Linked DNA regions of Drosophila melanogaster. The protein of the gene in region 3 purifies or fractionates together with the protein of the main gene of each other region. This does not show direct contact. Each region holds a gene or a part of one and is shown on either strand. Other genes may lie near its edges.

What was found.
Region 1: the proteins of Hmgs (region 3) and igl purify together in Drosophila melanogaster (affinity purification with mass spectrometry, with the first as the bait; one large-scale study listed by BioGRID). This does not show direct contact.
Region 2: the proteins of Hmgs (region 3) and CG8654 purify together in Drosophila melanogaster (affinity purification with mass spectrometry, with the first as the bait; one large-scale study listed by BioGRID). This does not show direct contact.
Region 4: the proteins of Hmgs (region 3) and bocks purify together in Drosophila melanogaster (affinity purification with mass spectrometry, with the first as the bait; one large-scale study listed by BioGRID). This does not show direct contact.

What each region holds. Positions count from the first base shown.
Region 1 is NT_033778.4:15,153,890-15,158,443, reverse strand, and holds the start of igl (igloo), read right to left. Parts: upstream 3,008-4,554; 5' UTR 2,527-3,007; coding exon 2,229-2,526; intron 1-2,228.
Region 2 is NT_033778.4:19,977,263-19,985,271, reverse strand, and holds CG8654 (uncharacterized protein), read right to left. Parts: upstream 6,031-8,009; 5' UTR 5,963-6,030; intron 4,733-5,962; exon of another isoform or gene 4,451-4,732; intron 4,396-4,450; exon of another isoform or gene 3,997-4,395; intron 3,163-3,996; exon of another isoform or gene 3,068-3,162; intron 2,975-3,067; 5' UTR 2,964-2,974; coding exon 2,569-2,963; intron 2,367-2,568; coding exon 2,223-2,366; intron 2,161-2,222; coding exon 1,191-2,160; 3' UTR 377-1,190; downstream 1-376.
Region 3 is NT_033778.4:16,334,507-16,341,742, reverse strand, and holds Hmgs (HMG coenzyme A synthase), read right to left. Parts: upstream 5,654-7,236; 5' UTR 4,880-5,653; intron 3,442-4,879; exon of another isoform or gene 3,307-3,441; intron 2,629-3,306; exon of another isoform or gene 2,546-2,628; intron 2,304-2,545; exon of another isoform or gene 2,297-2,303; 5' UTR 2,264-2,296; coding exon 866-2,263; 3' UTR 501-865; downstream 1-500. Other genes in the region: CG7997 (uncharacterized protein), read left to right, coding at 1-262, 322-353.
Region 4 is NT_033777.3:9,588,968-9,592,621, reverse strand, and holds bocks (bocksbeutel), read left to right. Parts: upstream 1-1,619; 5' UTR 1,620-1,692; coding exon 1,693-2,892; 3' UTR 2,893-3,154; downstream 3,155-3,654. Other genes in the region: P58IPK, read right to left, coding at 3,340-3,654. UniProt on the Drosophila melanogaster protein: Inner nuclear membrane protein. May have a role in maintaining the structural integrity of the nuclear lamina. During pupal development, plays essential and redundant functions with the other LEM domain proteins; MAN1 and Ote.

The DNA.
Region 1 (4,554 bases), 1.2 Mb from region 3:
TACTTTGCATGAGTTGACATCTTTATTGCCAATTTATGTCCTTCCTGGCCCATTCGCAATTCGCAGGTAATTTCGCTTTGGGCGTGTCCAAACGGGGAAAAGGGAAGTGAAATATAAAACGAAATTGACCTCGTCATCGCCATATCTTAATTATTTGACAGACCGCAGAAAATTTACCCAGTTTCTACTTAAGCATTTACGGATTTACGTTTTTAATTTCGTTTCACTCGCAAGCGGAATCAATTTGAAATACAGCCTACGTGTTTGTTTAACAAAATATTTTGGGTGGCGGCATAAATGGCGTAACCGAGCGGCAGTTTTATGGTTGATTTGGGTTTTCACTTCTTTTCGTTAGTTTATTTGTATGTTTTATTACGCTTTTCTTTTACGCTGCTGCAGAGGAAAATCAAAAAAGTTCGAGGAGCGGCCTAAACTTTATAGTAAGGAACTTTATGGCAAGTAAAAAAGAAAAGGCAGCTGGCGAATATTTATGAACCACTACAGCCCAAATGAAATTGAATATTGAATAGCCTTACCGTGAATATAAGAACTGATTTAATTTTCTTGCTACGCACAAACTTTCAAGGATTATCCAGAATATTTCAGCGATTCCAAGAAGCCCCAATTAGCTGAGTTAATTTCAAGGCAAATGTTACGAGGAAAACCAAGTGAGCAGCACACATAAACCAGCAAATTAAAAGCTGTTGGCAGCGGGAAAATTGCTAAGCAATAATAATAATTTGTGGCATTAACAGGGAGCGAAATTTTCTGGCTAACTTTTCCCGTGCAGTCAGCCATTGATAAAGTGTCGCTATACAATTTATCAGCACTCCCTTTGGGAAACTGGGAAATGAAAATTGGGAGGGGAGCGGGAAAACGTGCGGAAAACGGCGGCAAAACAAACAGTTTCTGCCACTACTACTGCTGCACCTGCCACAAGGGAAAGCTGGCTGTGGTAATTTATGAGTCAGTCTCTGGAAACGCTGTGCACCTCGATGGTTTTTCATATTTTCATTATATCAAAAAGGAGCAAATAAACCGCACAAAGTTCCTCCTTTTTTTGGGGTTTGCAAATGGTATTAGCCCCGAACTTTGCATCCAAATTTGGGCTGAGTAAAAAGTTATTGTGGTGAAAATTTAAATGAATAACTAAGTAAATTGAAAATAATTGGATATGTATGTATTTTCAGGAGGCAAGTATATAAAATTTCCAGTGAATTATGGCAGAAGTTTTAAATAATTCGAGTTATTTTTCCAACTAAAATTTAATTTCGTACAATAGAAGAATAACAAATGAGGCCATAACTTTACGTGTACATTTATAAATAGAATTAATTATACATTTTTGTATTGTAAGCAAATATTATAGAAAAGTAGACAATTTTTGATATGTCGTTAAAGGTTTTTTGCTTTCAAGCAAAGTAAACGTTATTATCACTTTACTGCGAATCATATGTCGTAAACTAAATTGTGCCCCCAAAAGCAAGCTATGGAATTTGTGTTATCCTGCGGCCCATATCGCTGGCCATAAAAGTGACTTCTGACTACGCTTATTAGATACCATAAACAGGAGCATAACCTACGTTAATGCGCATTGGGGAAAAAAAATGCCCAAGGCGACTGTGGGACAACGAGGCGGCTACTTAACAAAGTTAAGGACCTAACACAAATTTGCCATCGGGCGCATAAAAGCGCTTGCGGATGTAGTGGCGTGTAATGGAGTGCAGTGTATACATCCAAATGCAAACATCCCTTTATATATAAATTTATATATACATATATGTGTATACACTTAAACAATTCATATTTGCGACACCATTAAGCAGCGGGCCGCGGGGAGCCCGGAAAACTGGGGGAAAATGGAAAAGTGGCAAAGAAAAAAGGCAAATGCGATAACGCCGTGCTCCCAGCGTGTTGATACAGTAAATAATACTCGAACCCCTGGACACAGGATTTTCATTCATCCGCACACACACAGGACACCGAAAAAAAGTCCTATAAACTAAAAAAAATTTAGTGTCTATTCTTCGCTTCTTTAAATATTTGTACAATTTCGGTTTTTTACTATAGCTGTAAAGATTTTTCTTAATTCAGAAAGTAAGGAAAATCACCACACTTTGATGTGATGAACATTTTCTCCAAGTGCACCCACACACACGCACGCACACCGAATGTTGAACAGTCGTTAATATGAATGTATTGGATATCGGAGATTGAACGGGCCTTACCTTCGTCCTCGTCGTCATTGAACTCCGTGATTGCCGCCTTGTCGCAGGGACGATCAATGCCATTTGTTGCTTCCGACTTGCCACTCCCCCCGCCAACTGCGCCGCCCCCGTTGGCCGCCTTCGCCTCGCCGTTGGAGATAATTGAACTGGATTTGGCGTGATTCGTATGATTGCTAGCGGATGACTTGGATGACTCGCCCTCCAAGGGAGGAGCACTGGGCTCCGGTTCGCCGTTGCTGACCGCATCCATGGCTGCGCCATCCTTCGTCTTTAGCTCCTGGCTGGTGTTGCAGCCCATCTTATTGGATCGAGGATTTGGCAATTTAGTCCGCGGCTTTTGATGGAGTCTCTACGCTTCCAGTTGGCCTAGGTTACCCTTGTGTTGTTTAATCAATTGCACACACACACACTATAGTACACACACACACATCCGAACTGGAAACTAGTTTATAAACGATACTTGTTGTTTCTGGGCCAATTTGCACTTTGACTTTCGCGAGCTGAAACCTTTTTCGCATTAAATGTTTACAAAAATACGTTGTGCCTCGGTAATTTTTTTTGTTCAAAAAACTTTGGTGTTTACAAAAGTCATTAGAAAAAGGTGCACAACCACAATTTACTAGCCAAAGAACTCGCACGGAACCGGAAGCGGAAACCAGCTGGATGGCAGACTCGCAGCGAAACTGACTGTCTCTGGCACAAGCTCAGGCACAACTGACTTTGACACTGAACGGCGCCGGCGACGCGTCCTCACTGCGGATGCCACGGACCCCGAATGCCCGATATCCCCACATCCTGCAGGAGCTGGAGTTTCGAGCTCAACAAGCAGCGACGCGCCAGCCGGCAGGCAACGACACACAAAGCCCAGGGAAACAGAGAGCCAGGACCTCGAGGAGAGATAGGAATAGGAAGCGAGAGAATTCTCTCTCCCGCTCTCTCGCAGGACTCACAGTGGGCAAAAATATATGGTTTATACATGTATGTGTAGAACTTAATTGTCTCAAAATTTCAAAGAAATTAAATAAAATAAAAATAAATGGTTAAACAAAAGCCACTTTTCCTCTGATTTTTTTTGGCAATAATCACAAAATCAGGATATGATATTTAAGTTTATGTTGGGATCTACAAATCAATGAATTAATTCAATTTCAATAAGCTTCTTATAAATGAACAATATTACAACGATGTATTAAGTGGCAAATAAATGACTTTTTTGTCTAAATATTTATTCTAAATAATTTTTCCTTCATGTATACTACTGTTTAGCAAGGGACTAAAAAAGAGACCCGAGAAGAGAGTGGCTCTATCCAGGCGGCAACGGCAGCAGCTGCCTCTGTTGTTGTTAGCCAGCGCTGGCTGCAAACTTTTTCGCAAATAAACAAACCGACTGCCGAATCCGACTCACAGATACGCACGCACACAGCCATGCTAGGAATGTGGCTTAGAGGCGCCGCAGAAACCGTTGTGGTGGCAACACAACCAGAATCCAAAGAGCGGCAAAGGCAGCCAAGGCAATGGCATCATCATCGAGAAAGGAATGGCCACACTCACACCAGCGCAGGCCAAAGGACTCTCTCACACACACACACACATACATACACATTGCGTGTAACCAGGCACAAACAGCTGAATGAAGAAAGCCCAGCCAAAATGAATGCAAATAAAAAGAATATATATTCAAGCAGAAAACCTGGCCCATAAAAATATCAATGAGCACCGGCCGCTCCCTTGAGTATATATAGCAATTCATAAAAGCAACTAGCTTTTGCATCTCGTACAGCTCAGCTGTCATCTGGCTTCCTTTTTGTCTTGGCATTAATATTTGGGAGTTGGCTCTTTGGCTTATGTATGAGTGAAGACGCTGCGATGGTGTGCGTGAGACAAATGAATTGGTTTAGCTTTTATTGTGTCTGCGATTCCTTTGTAGTTCCCTGTATTGCTTAGTTATTGTATCCCAAAATCTCCCACTTAATTTGCAATGCTTTAGAACTTTTGAATTTAAAAAGTATGGAATTTATGAATAAATTATAAATTCTAGAATTAAAGTGTATAATTGGGATGGCAATAAAGTTTTGTGTATACCACCTTTTATCTTAGAGATAGTACCATAACAATCAAGCTGAAGTGCGCATAGTCTAGTTGAAGTGCAAGCCACGAATACTCGTAAAGTGGGCGATATGCAGGCCTTGGGCCAATTTTAATCAAAACTTCCCTTGCTTACCCACAAAATGAATCCCGCATATGTATGTACATATGTTATTATATTACAGATGTCTGAGCATATGCAAATTAGCTTCACATTGCAAACGTGGCATAAGTGCGCAGA
Region 2 (8,009 bases), 3.6 Mb from region 3:
ATTGCTAGATGCACGGAAACAAATTTCGTACAGAAAATATTAAAGAAATCAAAATAGGTGTTCGAAACATCAACTCTTCAAGTTTTTAAAATAAAATCATTTTAAATAAAGTCAAATTATCCTACATCAATGATTTCTTTAATGTTCAAATTTGACTAGCATTTAACTTTTTATAATCAACTATTTTTTTTTTTTCTAATATAACCAAGTACATTTTCACCTATTTTTTCTTCGTGGAAAAGGGATGTTGAATGAGGAGCGAGGATCCGAGCCAAGAGCCGCATACAAATGAGGCGTACCCAATGTTGACAATGAATATTAACCTTGAGTGGTGCCCCAGCCGGTTTTTGCCTGGCCAAGGTCATCTCATCCCATCGCGATGCCAGAGGATGTGGATGCGGAGATGGTGTGATGAGATGGTTGCCGATAATTGCCATGGGCATCGACTGGAGTCGACCTAATGGAAACGCGGTGAATGTCATTCGCGTTGATGTGTGTAATCGATTCTGCAGAGTTGTTTTATTAAATGAAATGCTAAAATGCAATTTATTCGATTCAAAATTACATTGCATGGCTCTTAAACTATTAACGTAACAACCGAATAAATGTTTCATACGACCTTGATGGTACAGATTTCTCGGGACTTATAGCGACAGCTGATACAAATATCTCAGATTGAAAGCCTCGTGTTTGCCCACAGAAACTTTATGAGATGCACTTCGATCCGGAGAAACAGTTTCCACTTCTACTTGAATTCTACTATATAATTTCATTGGTCTTAGCTGCTATCGATTGGGTTCACATGCGAAGTTTGCATTCACAGTCACTTGGCTGGTTTTCCAGTTAGCTATTTGGCTGCTTTGCACCTCGACATTAAGGCAGTTGGAGAACAGCTACGATTGAGACTGGATTCAGACTGCTAACCCAGTTTTAATAATCACGAAGTGGAAGTTACTCCGCGGTAATTACCTTTTGCATTCGCTAGATTTTTCAATTTTTTTTTGCTTTTCGCCTTTTGTTTGCGGCACGAACGGCAGTTTAGCTTTTCGGTGACTGACATATCGCATCGTATAAATCTCAACTTAAGTCGAAATTTAATAATTTTAGAGCCCAGGCATTAGGAGTTTTGCTGGGCTCGAAAATTTTAAATTCTCGCCTTGCTACACCGATGCAACACTGGGAGAAAAGCCCTATGCCTGGTCCTTCTTTTTACGCCCGAATGTCTCTCCGTCCTCCAGGGTTTCCGGCAGTGGAGTTCCACGTGTCTCCGGCAAGAAAATTGTGCCGAGCATTGCCAGAATGGAGAAAATTCCAAAGATCAGGGGCGCCACCCACAGACCGTATGCAGCCAGATCGACGATGAGCGGAGCAACAATGGAACCTATTCGACCGACCATCGAGCAGAGACCAACCCCACTGGAACGCACAACCGTGGGAAAGAGCTCTCCGCCGTACAAGTAGACATTCGGAAAGGTGATTGATGCGCCAAAAAGTCCAATTGTGGCGCAGGTCACACGCACAGCCTCTGCCTGAGTAGAAAGGCATGCCAATAGGATTAAGCCCAAAGCACTGCATCCATTGGAAAGAAGCAGGGTCTTCTTGCGTCCGAGGTACTTGGTCATGAGCGCACAGAGGCATGTGCCTGGAATGCCCACTCCGGCGGCGATTGCATTGCTGATGAAGATGTTGCCGCCCAGCGCGGAGACATACTGAGCGGTGCCGTAGTAGACCATGCAAACCACTAGCCAATTGTTTGCCATGAATATGGTCTTTATCCGCATATAGGGTGTCCGGAATAGATCCACGACGGTGCCTTTTTTGACCGGCTGGCGGGCTGCCAGTGCCCCATAGGCAGCTTCGATCTCCGGCCGAATCGTTTCCGTCGGAGCCTTATTACACTTGGCGATCTTCTCCAGAATCTTTATGGACTTGTCCAGCTTGCCGGTGGTAAAGAGCCAGCGTGGCGACTCGGGAACCAGCCAAATGTAGATCACGAACACGATAGAGAAAATGGTGATGCTGAACTGGAACCAGCGCCATTCTCGAATAAAGTAGGCAAACAGGGCCAGGGAGGCGTGGCCGATGTTAAAGGGGATTTGGTAGAGAATGGCTACCATTTCGCGCTTTTTGGGTCCCACGATTTCCATCAGCAAGACGAAACTGCGGATGGGATTAGTCATTTATATTACTGGGAATATCCTTGGTAGTGCCTTTACACCCACCTGGTGGTCATCGTTCCCGCCGTGGCCACAGCCACCAGGAACCTAAAGAGGCAATAGAACCAGTAGTAGGGGGATACGCAGACGATGAGGCCAGTGATCAGCTGCATGAAGCAGCACGTCAGGAAGGCAGGGCGTCGTCCATACCTGGGAATTGAAAAATTCTATAGTAGGCGGACTAACTCAAAAACAGAAAAATTGTTTTAAAACTAATAAATAGGTGTTCGCTAATGGTCCACCAGTTAATCTAGTGGTTTAACTAGTAAGCCAGCAAAGGCTCTATTTTACCGACTTGCTTTCAGGTTTCTTTTAGCATAAGAAAACTTATTAATAATCTTGAGATACTCACCGATCAGCGAACATGCCAAACAGAATACTCCCGAACAAAATGCCCAGCATGACGATACTTTGGGACAAGCTAGCCAGCTGTTTGCTTTCGCAGGTGAGATTCCACTCGGTTATGATGGTGGATTGGAAGACGCTAGTGTCGAACTCGGTCTCGGAGCATTCGTCACTGCAGGGATCCGTGACGTTCTCTGTCTTGCAGGATAACGGCGTTGGTGCTGCGAGGAATATGTGGCCGAGGGTGTGCCATCCCGTGCCAAATTTGCACAGTAGAACGATGAAGAAAAAGAATAACTGGTAGCGCCGGAAGTCGCCGATCTGCGAAATTATCGGATCACCTGTCTTGGTGACGGGTTTCAGTGGCTTTGGAGCCTTTGGATCCTGCGGTCGATCGGCCATGTTGCTGAAAACTAATGATTTTTGGCTGTCAGTCAAAAAAAAAGTGTATATTTTGAGTGTTTGTAAAATATTCTAAATTTGTTTTTTTCAGTGCAGTGGCCTACCAAGCCGACTGGTTTCTTAGTGGGTGGACTTTCTCAAATATTTGCCGGCCTCAGAGCAAATTGGACATATCGACCGGTGCGGCTCAGTGCAGACTGGCGTGAAATATGGAACCCGGGCAGATGGAGATTTCGTTTGCGACCGGCCACCAGAGAACCGGTTTTCGCGGAGAGAGAGCTCCAGTCTGTGGCAGCGTGACAAGTTGGAGCTCAAAGACATAGCAATCGGCGGGGCTGGGGGCATTAGCACTTGGCCGCTTGGATCCACCGCCAAAATGGCATTTGAAAATAGAAATAGGAGTACGGCCTCCATGCGCCGCTGCAGTTTGTCAGCCCAAAAGGCCAAGAGACTGGGGCTAAGACGCTAAACTTTTACTCTTTAAGTAGGTAAATGAAGTTGGCTGCCTGGTTAATTGAAGGAAGGTGCGCCCGGGGACCCGGCCCGATGATGCTGGGATCTAGCTGGCAGATTAAGCCATTGTCTGCCCGCAGATAACCGAACGAGCCCCAGTTACCCATTAAGATGGCTTAATTAAGGAAGCACTGCCTCAGTGAAAGTTGAACCGGAGAGAGAGACGAAGGTCTGAGATTTCTGGTCGGAGATTCCGCCACAAGTTCCCACGGCAACGACAACCTGTCTGGCGAAGGCATTTGGCGCAATCGTCAGTGGCTGGCAAAATGTCACAACAATTGCAAATAAATTATATATGCAAATTGGCTGGCCAATGAATGACAAAACGCAGCGTTATAATACGATCGCCACATGCTAAATCTGGCAAGACACAAAGCGCTCACTTGGGAACTAAACAAATGCCCAATGTTTAAAGCAATGCCATTGTCTGCATTCATGGCATTTGAATGTTGTCCTGCTCATTTCAATTGCGATTAACATATTTTACCTCATTTATATATGTGAGGCAAAAAGCACTTACCTAAAGAGCCGATTTAAATGGCAATCAAAACAAAAACAGTTATAAGTAGGTCGAAACCAATTCTATTTATATTAAGTAATCGGAACTTTTCGGGGGCTTGTCTACCGCCCGAGTTATATAACTCAGCAAGTTGATTGATAATACTCTGTTCGCAATCTCGCACTTTTTGAACTACGTCTGGTGGGCTTCGACGCTCTACTATCAATGGCAGAAAAATCTCATCTTGTCTCGCCGGATGAGAAAAGCAACTGAGATGGCGATAAAGTCGTGTGTACTTTAATCCCAGATGATAAGAGGCGTTCGACAAGCGTCGCGAATATGACAAATAATGCCAAATGCCCTGAACTTCTGGCCAACTTGTGCGAGATAACACGTATATATTGTTTACCTGCAGAAAGCCTTTGGGCAAATGTTAATCATATAATCAGTTGAGCACACATTCAGCTTAGCCTACCTTATAGCTCCTGTATTCCAAAATAGATGATGTTTTGTATAAATTAATAGAGATGTCTCGCCGTGAATCCGATAGCTGATCACAATGAAATCCAAACATAATCACGCAGTGTTCATCAGTTTAGCACGCGTTTATCAAACTCCAAAATGTTTGGTTTACCCATGATATTGAAAGTCCAAATATCAATAAAGCGAGTCGCATTGTTGACTTATTTGGCAAGACGATAATTGAGTATAATTTTAGTAATATTTTTAGTTCCTAAACGTTTCCTGTAGATACAAACTTTTGATTTGTGCAAATCAACTTATTAATATGTTAAGGTAATAAATTATCCTAAAAAGACACATTTTAATTACACGTGACTAATTTTTAAAAGATGTATTGATGTTAAGAGCTACCAGTTCAGTAATGTATTAATATAGTATATATTAACGATGTGTTGTATATTTTGTATGAGTCACATGCTATTTTGAAGTTGAGAATTCCACCAAATATTTACTATACCCTTTATTAATATTATTTATTTATTTATTTAAATCTGAAACTAAAATTTCAAGGCCCAGCCGATATACTGTGTATTTGCGAAACTAAATCCATTTAAATGGCCCCGTTTAATATTTACATTTGGTGGGCTGACAAGTGTTCTAAGCCGATTTCAGTGCCCCGAATGGGCCGGCAAGCGGACTGTTTGGGCCAGATATTTTCCAGGGGATATATATATGGCCCGGCAACGCTCCAATTAGCACACAAAAGGATTACAGGGGAAATGCCAAATTTCTGGCGCTGCACAGAGAAGCACTTGGCAAGGCCAACAAATGTTTTGGGCCGGCTTTGGAGCGCTTTGCGGTTTTTCTTCCATAATTGCCGAACGGGCTAGGTCCGAACAGGCCAGGTCCGAGCTGAACTGAACTGAAGTGGACAGTGGTCGAGTGGACGAGGATTGCGAGGAATCCACTTGAGGTCCAGCGAGCAAATCAAGCGGCAGGCATTTAATTTCAAACTGCCCCCTCATCCGAACACACCATGGTGCAATCAAAATATTTTATAGGTTGGCCATAAAGAAATTCATAAAGCGAACGGCAGCAGCAGAATCAGCAGCAACTGCAACTCTGCCAATTCATACGAAAATTGCTAACTCAGCGCTCACATATATCATTTTTATGCGCGGCCACGCCCCTTTCAGCTCGTAGTAAATTGACAAATGCAGCGCGCCAAGTCTGTGAGATGTCTTTGCCACTATTTAAGGTCTTTCACGAGGGGATCGAGGTGGAGTTGGAGGTGGAGCTGGATGCTGCATGGCAATGAAAAAGCGCACCGAAAACTATGAGCAACGCTTAGCGAAATAAAAGTGCTTGTAATATGTAGTTAAAATCCAAGTAAGGCGATTAATGCGAGAGCATGGCGACTGGGAGATGCTCTCCAATGATTATCTCAGAAACGAAATAGATAAATATTTAGTGAATTTTAAGACTTCTAATAACAAGGTAGAGAAATTTCAAGCGGAAAACTTACCTGTGCCAAGACTAGCTCCTTTCTGGATCAGCACTTCACACCTGCCAAGTGTTCGCTTCCAACTGCGAAAAATCAATATACTCACCTTACTTTATAAATGGAAAAATTGCCAAACCACCCTTGAAGCAGAAACACACCTTAACCTGCCTGTTTACTTATCGAGCATCTGCCTGTCTGTCTCACTGCAATTAGCTACCTGAGTGAAGGGAAAATGCATCAAAGTGTTTGAAAGTAATGAAAGTACGTGTTTCATTCATTAGAATTATAAAAGTATGCCACACCATATGATTAATAATATGGATACTCGTACACTTTTTGTATCGTACACTATTATATCATCTTCTTTACTTTATTAGCTTAGATTGCTGAAATGCCCAGTCTGAGATTGCAGGGTATGCGTTGTGAGAAGAAGCAGCTAGAAACAAAGAGCCGCATCAACGGTTTTGGCTCTGGTTGCCTTGGCTTTTTACCCCGTCCGTCCTCTGTAATCGCCCCTTAGTTCTTCTCTAAATCCTCTTTGATTAAGTGCTCAGTCTTTTATGTGGAGATTTTTTAATCGTTACCTCGTCCTCCCAGCAACGAGGAGGACCGCAGTCCGCAGTCTGTTGTCCGAAGGGCGTCCATGTGACCATGCCCCGTAGATTAATCGCTAATCTGTCCCTAGAGGGCGTACTGACATTTTTAAAAACTGCGCACTGTCCAGCAGAGCCAAGGAAGCTGCCTCATGGCTGTCCACTTCATCCCGGGCCATTTGAAGATGTCTTTGGTTTTTATTGTCGGACGGCACTTGGGCACTTCCATCATTCCCATTCCCATTCCCGTTCTCGTTTTCTTTCGAGGATCCGTAGGACTCGCATTCGGACCACGATTCGCACCTCTTATTCAGTGCCTTTTCAGCCGCCCTTTTTGGCTTTATAAATAAATTAATAAATTTTAGCCAGCATTAATTATTGTGCTGCTTGGTCGGGTGCGCAGATTAATGTTTTAATTTCGCTAGCCTAGGCTTCGATTAATTTATGCGCGCCCTGTTTGCAATTTGTGCGCCATTTTTTGAGTAATTTCGCCTGGCCGGGGGCGATAAAGTGCATTAACATGGAATGCGGCTGCCGCTGCGGGCAGCTAAAATTGTTAATTTCGAAGCATCATAAAACGCGGCGATATGTTGCAGTTTCGTTGCCGGGCCCCTTTCAATTTACACTGGACGAACTAGCCGGTCGTCCTAATGTGTGTCACATAAATCAGCGGACGGCTCATCCAATGCGGCTGCCCATTTCGGTGGTTTCGGGGCTAGGGATTAATCCCAGAAGCTGGTGGGGTTGATGATGAGCGGTCTGCCAACACTTCACAGATTGATGAGTGACCTGATCATTAGTTGTTGGCCGACTAGGTCGTTGCTGCTTAATCGGTTGAATACTTCGTTAAGACCAGATTAAATTCAGGTTTTTATCGCACTTAAGTCATTTATACACTAATCACTTTCAGGAAAAGTATTAGGTTACCCATTAAACAATTTTTAGTTAATGAGCTTTATACCTATGAAGAACCATTTATCCAGCTTACTAAATATGGAAGTAGAAACAGTATGACTACTAGTTCAGGGTTCATAGAAACTTTTGGTTTTTCAAGGTACATATGTAGGTATCGGTTCTAATGAATTTGATGGCCAGCAGCCTTGTCGGGCCTTGTGTTACCTGATTTACGCGTGACGGGCACGCAAATCGAGGCGTTTAATTTCCGCCGCCGACAGCAGTTCTCACCGCAGCCTGTCAGTCAGCTGGGCAGCTGTCATAATACCGCTCAGCGAACCACCACCCACGACCGCCGATGACCTCCGACCCAGGAGTACTGATTCTCGGGGCTGTGGCAACATCAACCTCTTGGATGGCAGTAGACCAAAAGGTAAATAAACCCCTTGCCAGGGCCGCAGCTTTATGCATAATTAGCTTTTGCCGAGCGAAACACTGGCTCCGTGCGAATGTTGCAAAGTTTTAATTTATGCCTAGGTTGGCGGGAGGAATCGGTTATAGTTTGCCGTTCAGTTTGCTTT
Region 3 (7,236 bases):
GGGCGCCGTGTTTTGTCCCGCAACCAAATCGAAGTCTGGAAGCGTCCCATTACGCCAGTAACCAAGAGTGGACATCACTCCTATGCTGTCGCCTTTGTCAGTCGCCGAGATGATGGCGCTCCCTACAGGATCCCCTTCACGGTCAAGGAGCTCGGATTGACGAATCCCAAGGGTTATAATGTGCAGGATCTGTACGATGCCAGCAGCAAGTTGGGCGTCTTCCAGTCTGAGAGTCAGTTCATCACACGCGTCAATCCCAATGGTAAAATCCGTTGCAAAACACTAACTAGCCCTGACTTACTTCATTTTCCCCTCCCCCAGGCGTAACTTTCTACAAGTTTACAGCGTTGTAAGCCCAAGATATGCAAATCAGCCGCTGCCATCAAATCGAATATGCTCTTATATACACACTATTTCCACATTGTCCATTGACGTTGCATCGATGATCTGTGTAATAAGTTAATTCCGACAATAAATACCAGGTAATCACTGAAGAGTTTGACTTTGTTGATTTTTATTGTTTATTAAACAATTGATTGTGTGCATTACACACAGGTATAAGTATTGTACAATTATAGGCATAGATTGCAGTACCGACGCTAGTTAAGACTTGTTCCATGATATAAATAAGGTCTGACTGGATGAAAGAGTTAATTCGCAAGCTTGTATAAATAAGAAGTGTAGTACTATATACGCGACAAGGACCCGAATAAGAGCAAAAAGGATAGCGACCCCTCGGGATCATACCAGTTATAAATAGATACCATCTACAGCTACTGCTTACATGGGTTTGGTCGAGAGAGTTAGAGTTATTGTCAAGTTGTAGGCGAAACCGAAACCAAACCGAAGGAACCATAGCCCGGGGTTAGTGCACCCCATTGCTGATGGTCGGTGTGCGCTCGTAGGTGCGTCTATGCAGCGCATCCACGTCCTTCAGGTAGTAGGTGCCGGGAAACAGTGCGGAGATGCTGCCCGTTGGCGTGTAGGGCGCCGCATGGTTGTTCTTCTCCCGCACCTCCATCAGCGCGGAGAACTGCTCGGGCGCAACCTTCTCCCGTGAATTCAGCAACGGCTGCACGTAGTCCAGCTGCGAGACGAACTTTTCGAAAGCAGCTGCATCCTGGGTCACGCTGATCGAGTACATGGAAGCAGCCAGTCCGGATCCGTAGGAGAACAAACCAATGCGCTTTCCCACCAGCTCCTGGGCTGGTCCGCTAATCAACAGAGACACCAAACCGGAGTACACCGAGGGTGTGTACATATTGCCCACTTGGTTGGCCAGCAGCAGCGATTTCTTGGTCTTGCTGGCAAAGATGTTGGCGGACTGCGTCATGAAGGCCTTCTCCACATCGCGATCAAAGTAGGTGCTCTCCAGGGTAGCGGTATTAAAACGTTCCAGGTCGGGAAACTGCTTCGTTCGCTCCTCCTCACTGCTCAGCAGGAAATCGTTGAAGCTCAGGCGACCCACAGATTTTTGCACCAACTTGCAGAACGGTGTGTGGAATAGGATAGCATCGAAGGTGCTCAGGCTGGCCGGCTGCTTGGAAGTATCCTTCTGCTGCTGGTCGAACTTCTTGCGATACAGCCTGTAGCAGGTGTCCAGAGCAGAAAGGTAGCACTGAATAGAGAGCTTTCCATCTACCGTTGGGTATTCGGAGCTGAGGTCCGGCTTGTAAAAGTCGTAGGCGTGCTCCATGTGCGTTGCGCGTAGTCCACGATCGAGGATAAGCGGCGCATTTGGACCCACCAGCATAGCCACAGCACCCGCACCACCAGTTGGGCGCGCTGCACCCTTGGCGTACACGGCGATATCAGCACAAACGGCCAAAGCCAGGCGGCCGTCCCAGCTAGAAGATTCCACCCAATTGACGGCATTGAAGAGCGCCGCCGTGCCGCCGTAACAGGCGTTCGTGGTGTCGATGCCCTCGATGTCCGTGTTCCCGCTCTCGGCGAACAGCTGCATCAGCACGGACTTCACCGACTTCGACTTGTCCACAATGGTCTCGGTGCCCACCTCCAGTCGTCCGATCTCCGAGTGCTTCACATGTTGCCGCTCCAGCAGGCGGCTCACAACCGTCAGGCAGAGAGAGTTGACATCCTCGCGGTCCGAGCAGAAGCCCATCTTGGCCTGGCCCAGGCCAATTGTGTACTTGCCCGCGGAGGCACCATCGAAGGTCTCCAGCTCCGTTTGGTCCACGTACTGGGAGGGGAAGAGAATCTCGATGGCGCGTATGCCAACGTTCTCGGGCCAGTGGGATGCCATGATTGTATCCGGTTATCTATTTAATCCTGAGCTCTGTAAGAGAGACAATTTGTATACTTTTAGTGGGAGCTTTGGCATGAGAGTAAATATTTAATTCAATATCTTTGTTATTAACAACTATAACAATCACTATTTGCGTTTCGAAATTGCTTCATGATGTTGGGAGCTAAGGCCTTGTTTAATTTAATTTAAGCAGAGTTCTCGATGTGGCCCGAATTCCACTGCCAATTGGCATTGGGAAACTTTCTCCCCGCGCAATCACGGCGTATTTATAATGCTTACAAATTGGACGAGGGCAGAGACAACCTGTTGCACGCTCGAGCTGCGTTGGACGTGTGTAAGCCAGTGACTTTGGCTGCGGCTGAAGAAGTCATCAAAGTCTGCCAGCCAGAGGCCCCCGTCTTGGGGGCCAACTGATTTCCCTGGCTGAGAAACTGAGCGTGTAGAGAGAGAGAGAGAGAGGGAGAGAGAGCCGCCGGAGCGGAGAAAGTTTCCCCCGCTCAGGCGAGCTCCACAAAAGAGAACACTAAACCGCTGTGAAGTAAGCCAAAACACACGCATCGCAATAAATGTAAGCCAACAAGACAAGCCCAAAGAGCCAAAGGGACAGGGGCGTGGATGCTGTGGCTACACGCAGAGAATTTATGATTACATTTATTTACAATAGATAATCATTTCTTTTAAACTTTTTTTGTCAGAGAACAAGCTACAAAAATGATTACTTTAACACAATAACTCTTTTTTCAAAACCGCTTCCCCTGAAACTTCTCTACATTTTCACACATTTTAATTTCAGTTAGGCGCAAATTATAATTAAATCAAAATGATGATCGAAATATTATGATTTCCTATCGAAATAGAATGGAATTTTGCTCGGTGGAGCATTGTGGGACAGGCTGGGAGCGTCTTCACCCATAAGTGGGTCATGCCCACCAAGCACTAAGCACCAACCACCACTCTCCCTCAATCACACGCGTCCATATTGTATAACCGATAAGAGGTGCGAGTGTGGCCCAAACCCGAAAAGCGGTTGACATATTTACCGTTACGTTTAGCACCTGCGACTACTGGCCTATTGACTATAGATTTTCACTTTTCGGCCCGGAACTTTGTGGATTTGTGAAAAAAGGCTGGGTAGCGCGAAGCTCACTCGATCGGATCTCTCCGCGGACTGACGGCACTGGAGGCGCTGCACTGGCATATGAATATGACCATGACGACGGAATTGGCAGTGGAGAAGCAGACACCTAGCCAACGAAGCCACCTAGCCACCGAGCAAACACAGAGGCGAGAATAGGCGCTGTAAGTCAATGCCAATTGCTGAAAGCGCTCGGCGAACAAATAGCGATCGTGCATAATTACGGGAAATATTTATCGCTTAGATACGGCCAGCGAGCACGAAACACAATCGTCGGGGACTAAGAAGCCGCCAGACTATATAGATATGCACATCGATAGTCGTGGCCTTTTGCGATGGGGTAAAGATCAAAGGCTGTCCATCGCTGATAAGGCCGAAACAAAGCGGCTTCCTTAAAAATGCCACCGAATAAGATGTGACACTCTGTCCATTTCAGTGACAAAAACTGGGAAGTGACTTCCAATAGCTTTTCTCCGATTAATTACTTAAGACGTGCCCTTAGGAATTATTAATAGAAAATTATTTATAATTTGAGTTCTACTAATTTTCCTACTGGTATAACTTAAATTGGATTATCATCTTTTCTGAACACTATCTTGAAACGTGATTTCAAATCACCTGAACACAATTGGTAATTGATAAAATATTCTACAGAAATCACTTAAAGTAAGATAATAACAAGACTACTTTAAGTAGTTGTGATATTACTTGAGTCGTACTTAAGTTAATTAATACAGTTTAGTTAAAGTAAGTAAAATTAACAAATAAGAGAATACTTTGTCCTATTGTGCAAAAGAGTATGAATCATTATCCAAAGTCATGAAACTCTAATTTCAAGCAATTTAAGTGATTTAAGTCATTAATTCCTCGAGTGCCTGCGTGGAATACAGCTCACCCGGTGTTCCTAAGCAGCCCGTGGATTTAAGAATGGAAATTGATGCGCTGTTTATGCGGAAAAGGAGTCATCGAAGGGAAGGGAACGGGGCACTGTTGTGGTTTTGTGGGCTTATTTTTAGCACTTCGGAATTGGGAAATATTTGAATAAACATTTCCTGGAACTGCTGCGCACTTGGCTAATTGATTGCTCTTGAGTCATTCTTTTCTTTTTCGGCTGCAGGAGGGTGCGGAGGTGGAGGAGGAGGAGGAGGAGGAGGTCAAAGGTCGGGATGTTCCCGATAGAAATACACGTGTATTTGAGAGCCGGGAGATAAGCATAGTTTAGGGGTCAGGATTATGAAACTGATCTATGAGGTGACACATATCACTGGATGTTGATAATTTTTAAATCTACACTATTACACACGGCTGGAAAAACACTGTGAAACAGCTTTTCCCAATTTACAATAACCAATTCTAATTGCACACATATTATGTTCCTCCGACTTCTGGTTACATCAGCGCCCAAACTGACCACCTGCCACGCCCACAGCCCTCATCCAGCGCAGCACGAACAGTACTCGCACTCGCAATCAACTTACTTGCTAATATTAATGGTCCAGGGCGGGCGATATGTTTTAAACTAAACTAATCTGGAATAAAATTAAGCAATGAAACTGCGGCACCTTAGCCGCAGGCAGTGTTGGAGAGCGCGCGGCGCTGGAACAGCTGCTGGCGGAGTCAGCTGTTTGGCTCGCTGGCTAAGCAACACTGGCGCCATCACGTGAATCTCGTGGGCATTGTGAACTGTCACTTTTTTCGCCAGCGCTTTTCTCACCACACAATTTCGTTCGCATTTGTGGGTGGCGGCGGTCGATTTGCGCTGATTTTTTGGCAAAGAAAAACGCACTTGCTGTTTTCAAATAGCACAAAAAGCACACCTGCTTCGTTTACAATCAACCATATTCGCTGAAAAGTAAGTGCCAACCGTAAGAAATAGTTAATTCGGCGGGTTTTCCACGTCGCCGTGAAAAGTGCAAAAGTTACCCCCCGCCGAAAAAAAAGACCGATTACTACATCGCAGTAGGTCTGCTGACCAGGAAAAGTGCGCAAATCTCTTGTAGATTATTGAAGATAGTGAGAAAATTAGTTTTTGCAATGTGGCTATGATTTTTTGTCGAAGCAGTGTGACCCTGAAAAAAAGAGTTCGCCAGTTTGTTGCGTTTCGTTCGACGGCAGATTGCCGCGAGGTCTGCGGATGTATCTGGAAATATCCAGCTGATGATCGTGTGGGCTGGGGGCGGGGAGTCGGGAAAATGTGCGAAAAGTGTTTTGGTTTTTGTGCTTAAATGAAAAACCCGTGAGCAGCGGAAAATTATCGATCGAAAAACTGTCATGTGACTGTCAACGAACAGCTGACATTGCGAGAGCAACTCACCACAGCGAGTGGTGAAAAGAGCGCAATAGGCGCTTTGAAAATTGAAAGAGAACACAAAATTCTCTTTCGCTCTTTGGGTAAACAAAAAAAGTTGGAAAATGTTGTTTAAAAATTGAAATACTTTTCGGTTATTTTGCCATAAGGCACGTATTTCGCTGATTAATAGATCGTGTTGTGCGAAAACAAGCAAATACACTTTGATGCGCTGCACGAGGATTAATAAATAATCGTATTGCGTGCAACAAGGACCTTGATGAAAACCAAGCACATATTATACATGATATATATACTCTACGAAACTGTAGGCAAAACTCAAACACGGCCAATAAGGCGGAAATTCAAATGGCCAAACAGCTGCTGGAATTCCAGCGCGTGCTTATCTGTATGTCTGTGTGCAAGGTCTCCCGAGCCACCCACTTTCACCAAGCCGGTGCCAGCCACCCACCCACATTCCACCCCCCGGCAAGCACATTATTATTAATTAATTTGGGCGCACACCCACTGCGGCGAGGATATCGTCAAAACTTTGTTTTCCTCCTTTGTTCCATTTTTTATTGTCTTTTGTTTTCGTCGCTGCAATTTCCTGTATTGGATTTGGACTACCCCAACTGGATGTGTATCTAGATTTGGATATGGGTATGGGCTTGGAATCGGGATATGGATTAGGACCTGGACCCCAGGCCCTCTCCATTAGCGCCAGCCGTTGGCCAGTCAGACTGTCTCCATTCGCCTGGCGACGCGTTGGCTGGAGCCCTCCGCTCATCGTCCCTCTGTCCTTTATCCTCGCATTTCCCTTGGACTCGGTCCAATCCACGTCATCAGTTCAACATGAACATGGCAGCATAACAGTCGGTAACTCCTGCTCGTCGTCCTCCCTATCTATCCATATATCTAACTATATCTCTATATGTGCTTCCCTTTTGGCCCGCAGCAACTTGACTTTCGTTGCTAAAAATAAACATACGTACGTAGTTGTGCACTGGAAACAAAACGTGCTAAGTTCTCTGTCATTGCTATTCTGCAAGTCACATTATGGAGTATATCAAGCATATGTTACAGCCTAAACATGAGTGGTTAATTATCATGAGCTACATTCCGCCATTAGATCATTACACACAGCCATTACTAAAATCTGAACTTTTATATCTAGATAAATTAGATAATAACATTCACATATCAATTTCGTATCATTTTACATGTCATGAATCATAATATGGAGATTCAGTTTGAAAAGCATGTGGACGTTTGATTCCGCTGAAAAGGATATATTGAAAAATATATATACTTATACAATAATGTTTATCTGCGATTTGAGCATATATGTAAATATATTTTTAATACATGTACCAAGTGATCTTGCAAAAATGAACTTCTAATTTGACTGATCACCTGGTTATGTCATTCTTAACCTTCATTTAGATGCCAAATTATATTTTATAGCCTCGGGTGATATTTTTTCTTTGCGTGTTTCCGTATCCCACTTACCACCATTCCTCGTTGTCTGTTGCCAGGATTGTTGCT
Region 4 (3,654 bases), on a different chromosome or scaffold from region 3:
GGAAGGCCTCTCACGTGACTTGGCTATCAAGCAATACCAAATATAGGCAATGACCGACTGAATAGAATGAAATGCCCAACACAAATTATATTGGTAACAATAAATAACATTTGGAGCTACTTGAAATCAGCAAATTCACATGTACAAGCCACTCCAAAAATAGCACCAAATATGTATGTGCCTAAATCACTGATATTAACATTTAGTTTGAAACCCCATTTCTTCCTTGCAACCCCCGATGCTTCTTTTTAGATGAATTCTTAATTATGAGTAAATATATCTTCATGAATACAATTGTTCAAATGCTCTTTGTGAGTACATTCCTTGGAATTCGTTATAAGTGCAACGTAAACAATATTTAAAGAATACCCGGTGGTCGGTCCTATTGGGCATTCTAAGCTGCAGAAGTGTAAAAAGGGTTGGTTTTATTGCTCACCTGGTGTTAATTGTTGCGGCAACAGGTAGTTCTTCTGGTGGAGTAGACTGGTGAACTGGACTGCCGATAAGAAGGAGGCCACGCGCAGAGTTTGAGTTTGGGCAATAGCAATATCGAAATGTAATAAACCAAATACCAGAAAGGCAATTACTCGTTCACTTTCGATTCGATCGGCCGATAAGGAATTTTACAGGGAAAACACGATGTCAACACGTTTAAACAAAGAACAAACGCACTTATTTTCTGTTTGCGCTTAACAAAAAAACAAAAACCCAAATACGAGGATATTTTTTTTTTCGTTTAGTATTTATATCTACTTTGATTCGTTGTTGTTTTTCACGTTTTATGTGTTTGTTTTTGTCCCGCTTGCTCTTTTTTGGGGCGCCTTTCTCGCTCTTGTCCGCTTTAACCGGTTTTTTGGTTTATGTTTATGCTGCTGCTTCTACTGCTGCTGTTGTTGCTGTTTTTGTTTCCCTTGCTCTTGCTTGGCTAAATGGAAAATATGCTGCAATTGCAGCCAGCAAATTGTCGAATGTTTCCAGCCACTTGCTTTGCTACTCGAAATCGATGCCAAAAACTTTAATAACACCCGCGATTGAGGTAAACAAAAGTGTAATAAGCGAAGTGAGGCACACACGCAGGCGCAGAAAAGCAAAAAGGTGAAGAAATATTGGCCGCCAAACAGGTGCAAATGATTCACGATTGTTTTTCCACAATCCACTGTTTATGTTACGATGCTATATCTCCTCAGTTTTCCGCACTGCGACTTGGGGATTTTCTTTGGCTTGGCGAGCGCTTTCCGCGCGGCGATTCGTTTAATTCGAGCGTCTTGTTTGCGATTGAACACCTGTTGCGCGTTCGATTTTCATAAAACTAACTGTGTGACCGTCGGGCGTTAGTTGAAATAAACCATAGCAAGCGTATCCAACCAGGTCTGGCAGCACTGCTGTAAATGTTTAGTTGTAGGCATTTTATAACACTGCACATGAGGCGATTGCACATAAAATATCGAGTTAAGTTTTTCTTCAAGTAGTTTGTTCTTCTGTCTGATGTTAAAAAATTGTTTTTACTTTCGTGCACAGCTCATCCAGCATATGAAATCTAGCTATAGTTTGTCAAACAACATTACTTTAGCAGCAATCGATAGGCGTGCACTTAGATTGAACATTCTATCGCTGCCGTTCCATCACTAATAGACAACATTGTGACGACATTGCTATTTTTGTGTGTTTTGAGTTTCACCACGGCGGAAAATAATGTCGGACCTTTCTTACCTGGACACGTTGGGCAACAAGGAGCTGCTGGCCAAGTGCCTGGAGCACGGCCTGCCCGGTGTTCCCGTGACGGACAGCACCCGCAGCGTCATAATTCGCCGACTAAAGGCCAAAATCACCGGGGTTCCGCTGAACAAAAGCAAATCTGCAAGTAAGAAAGCGATTCCGAGGCGTGAGACCGTACACGGCAGCCAGGTAACGACGCCCACATCGGAGCCAGTGCGTCGTACGCCCGGCAAGAGTGCAGGACGCACTAGCAGCAACAACAACAAGATCAGCGAACAAAGTCGTCGCACAATCGCCTATGGACTAGACAACACCTCGATCTCGGGAAGATCTGTGCAGACTACTACCACGGTGTCGGATATGAGCTCCCAGTCGGAGGACGACGACTCCTACATGGTGGACTCTCCGGTGCCTAATTACTCCAAGGACCAGCAGCCTAGACGTTATGTTTCTCTAGCCAAATCCGGAGTTTTGACCACATCTTACACACGCGAAGTTGACCAGCCGCTGTACGAACAGGAGGATATACCACGCAGCTACACCTACGAAAGACCCCATGTGCCAGCCGCCACTCTTCACGCACTTCCCACATACGAGCCACGCATCGAACCTTCGACATACAGACCCACAGATTTGGGTTTTTCGCGTCCCCTGCTGACTCAAACCAACTTAAACTCAACCAGCTACGAGGAGTCATCTACGTACAATCCAAAACTTTCACCCATTTCGCCAAGAAACACTTTCAGCGGATCCGCTAGGCCTTTTGGTGGCCCAGCACCAGCTCCAGCACCCATTCGCCAGCGACAGAGTGTTCCAGTTAGTGGATCCAATCTGGCCCGTGGTCGCCTGCTCCAGCCGACCACCGCAGTAAACACTCTATATCCACAACTAAATGAATTCTACGATCAGCCGAATGACGCAGGCGAACCCATGGAGACGGAGAGCGAGTCCGAAGTCGAGGAAGTACCCATCAATAGCCATTTCCAAAAGAATCGCTTCTCGCCGCTGGCTAGAAAACCTCTGGTAAGACACCACGATCAGGTTTCGCCTATGGCGCAGTTCCGTGCACTGGCGGTGTCATTGGATCAAAAATATAATCTCAAATTCTACTTAATATTGGTAGTGTCAGTGATGCTGGCCACCATGGTGTACGTGGTATTGACACCCAACGCCTGAGAAGCGTTCATATCGCGGAATACATTTGGTTTTGGTTACTCCACGCATTTCAACCACAGACTACAGCGAAGGAATATTTATGACGACTTTGCACCTTAAGACTACTACTTCAATTCCAAACATGTTCAAAACTAACAAATATTCAACTCAATTTGCCAAGTCTTTAATTGCTTGTTCTCGCATATTGTTTCTTTTTATACATAATTAGAAAAATGTACTACATTATAATTATTGTATTGTATTAAATAAACTAATTAAATGTAAGTGCTCAGTGTGTTTTGTTGCGATTTGTGTTTGTTTGTGGTACTCTCTGACAACGGACCATGGGTTTATTTATGCTTTATGCTACTATTTACACGCCATTTAAATGAACAAAACAGTGTAAAATCGTTAAAGGATATCGGGGATCGCGGCTAGGACATCACAAAGCAAATGGCTGCTGGCTGACTAATTGAAGTGGAACTTGAACTGGAACGGCGACCCGTGTTGGAAGTGTCCAAACGGATGTTCGCCATGGAAGCCGCCACGCTGATTGCTCTCAGGATCTAATGGATCCTCGCCGTTGTCGAATTGACGACGCTTCTCGGGATCCGTGAGAACCTCCTTGGCTGCGGCAATGTCAATAAACTTTTTCTCGGCCACCTTCTTTTCCTCGTCGCGGAAGTTGTCCGGATGCCACTTTTGCGCCGCCTTCCTGTAGGCCTTCACAATCTCCTGTTTGCTGGCGCTACGCTTAACGCCTAATATCTTATAGTAATCCCT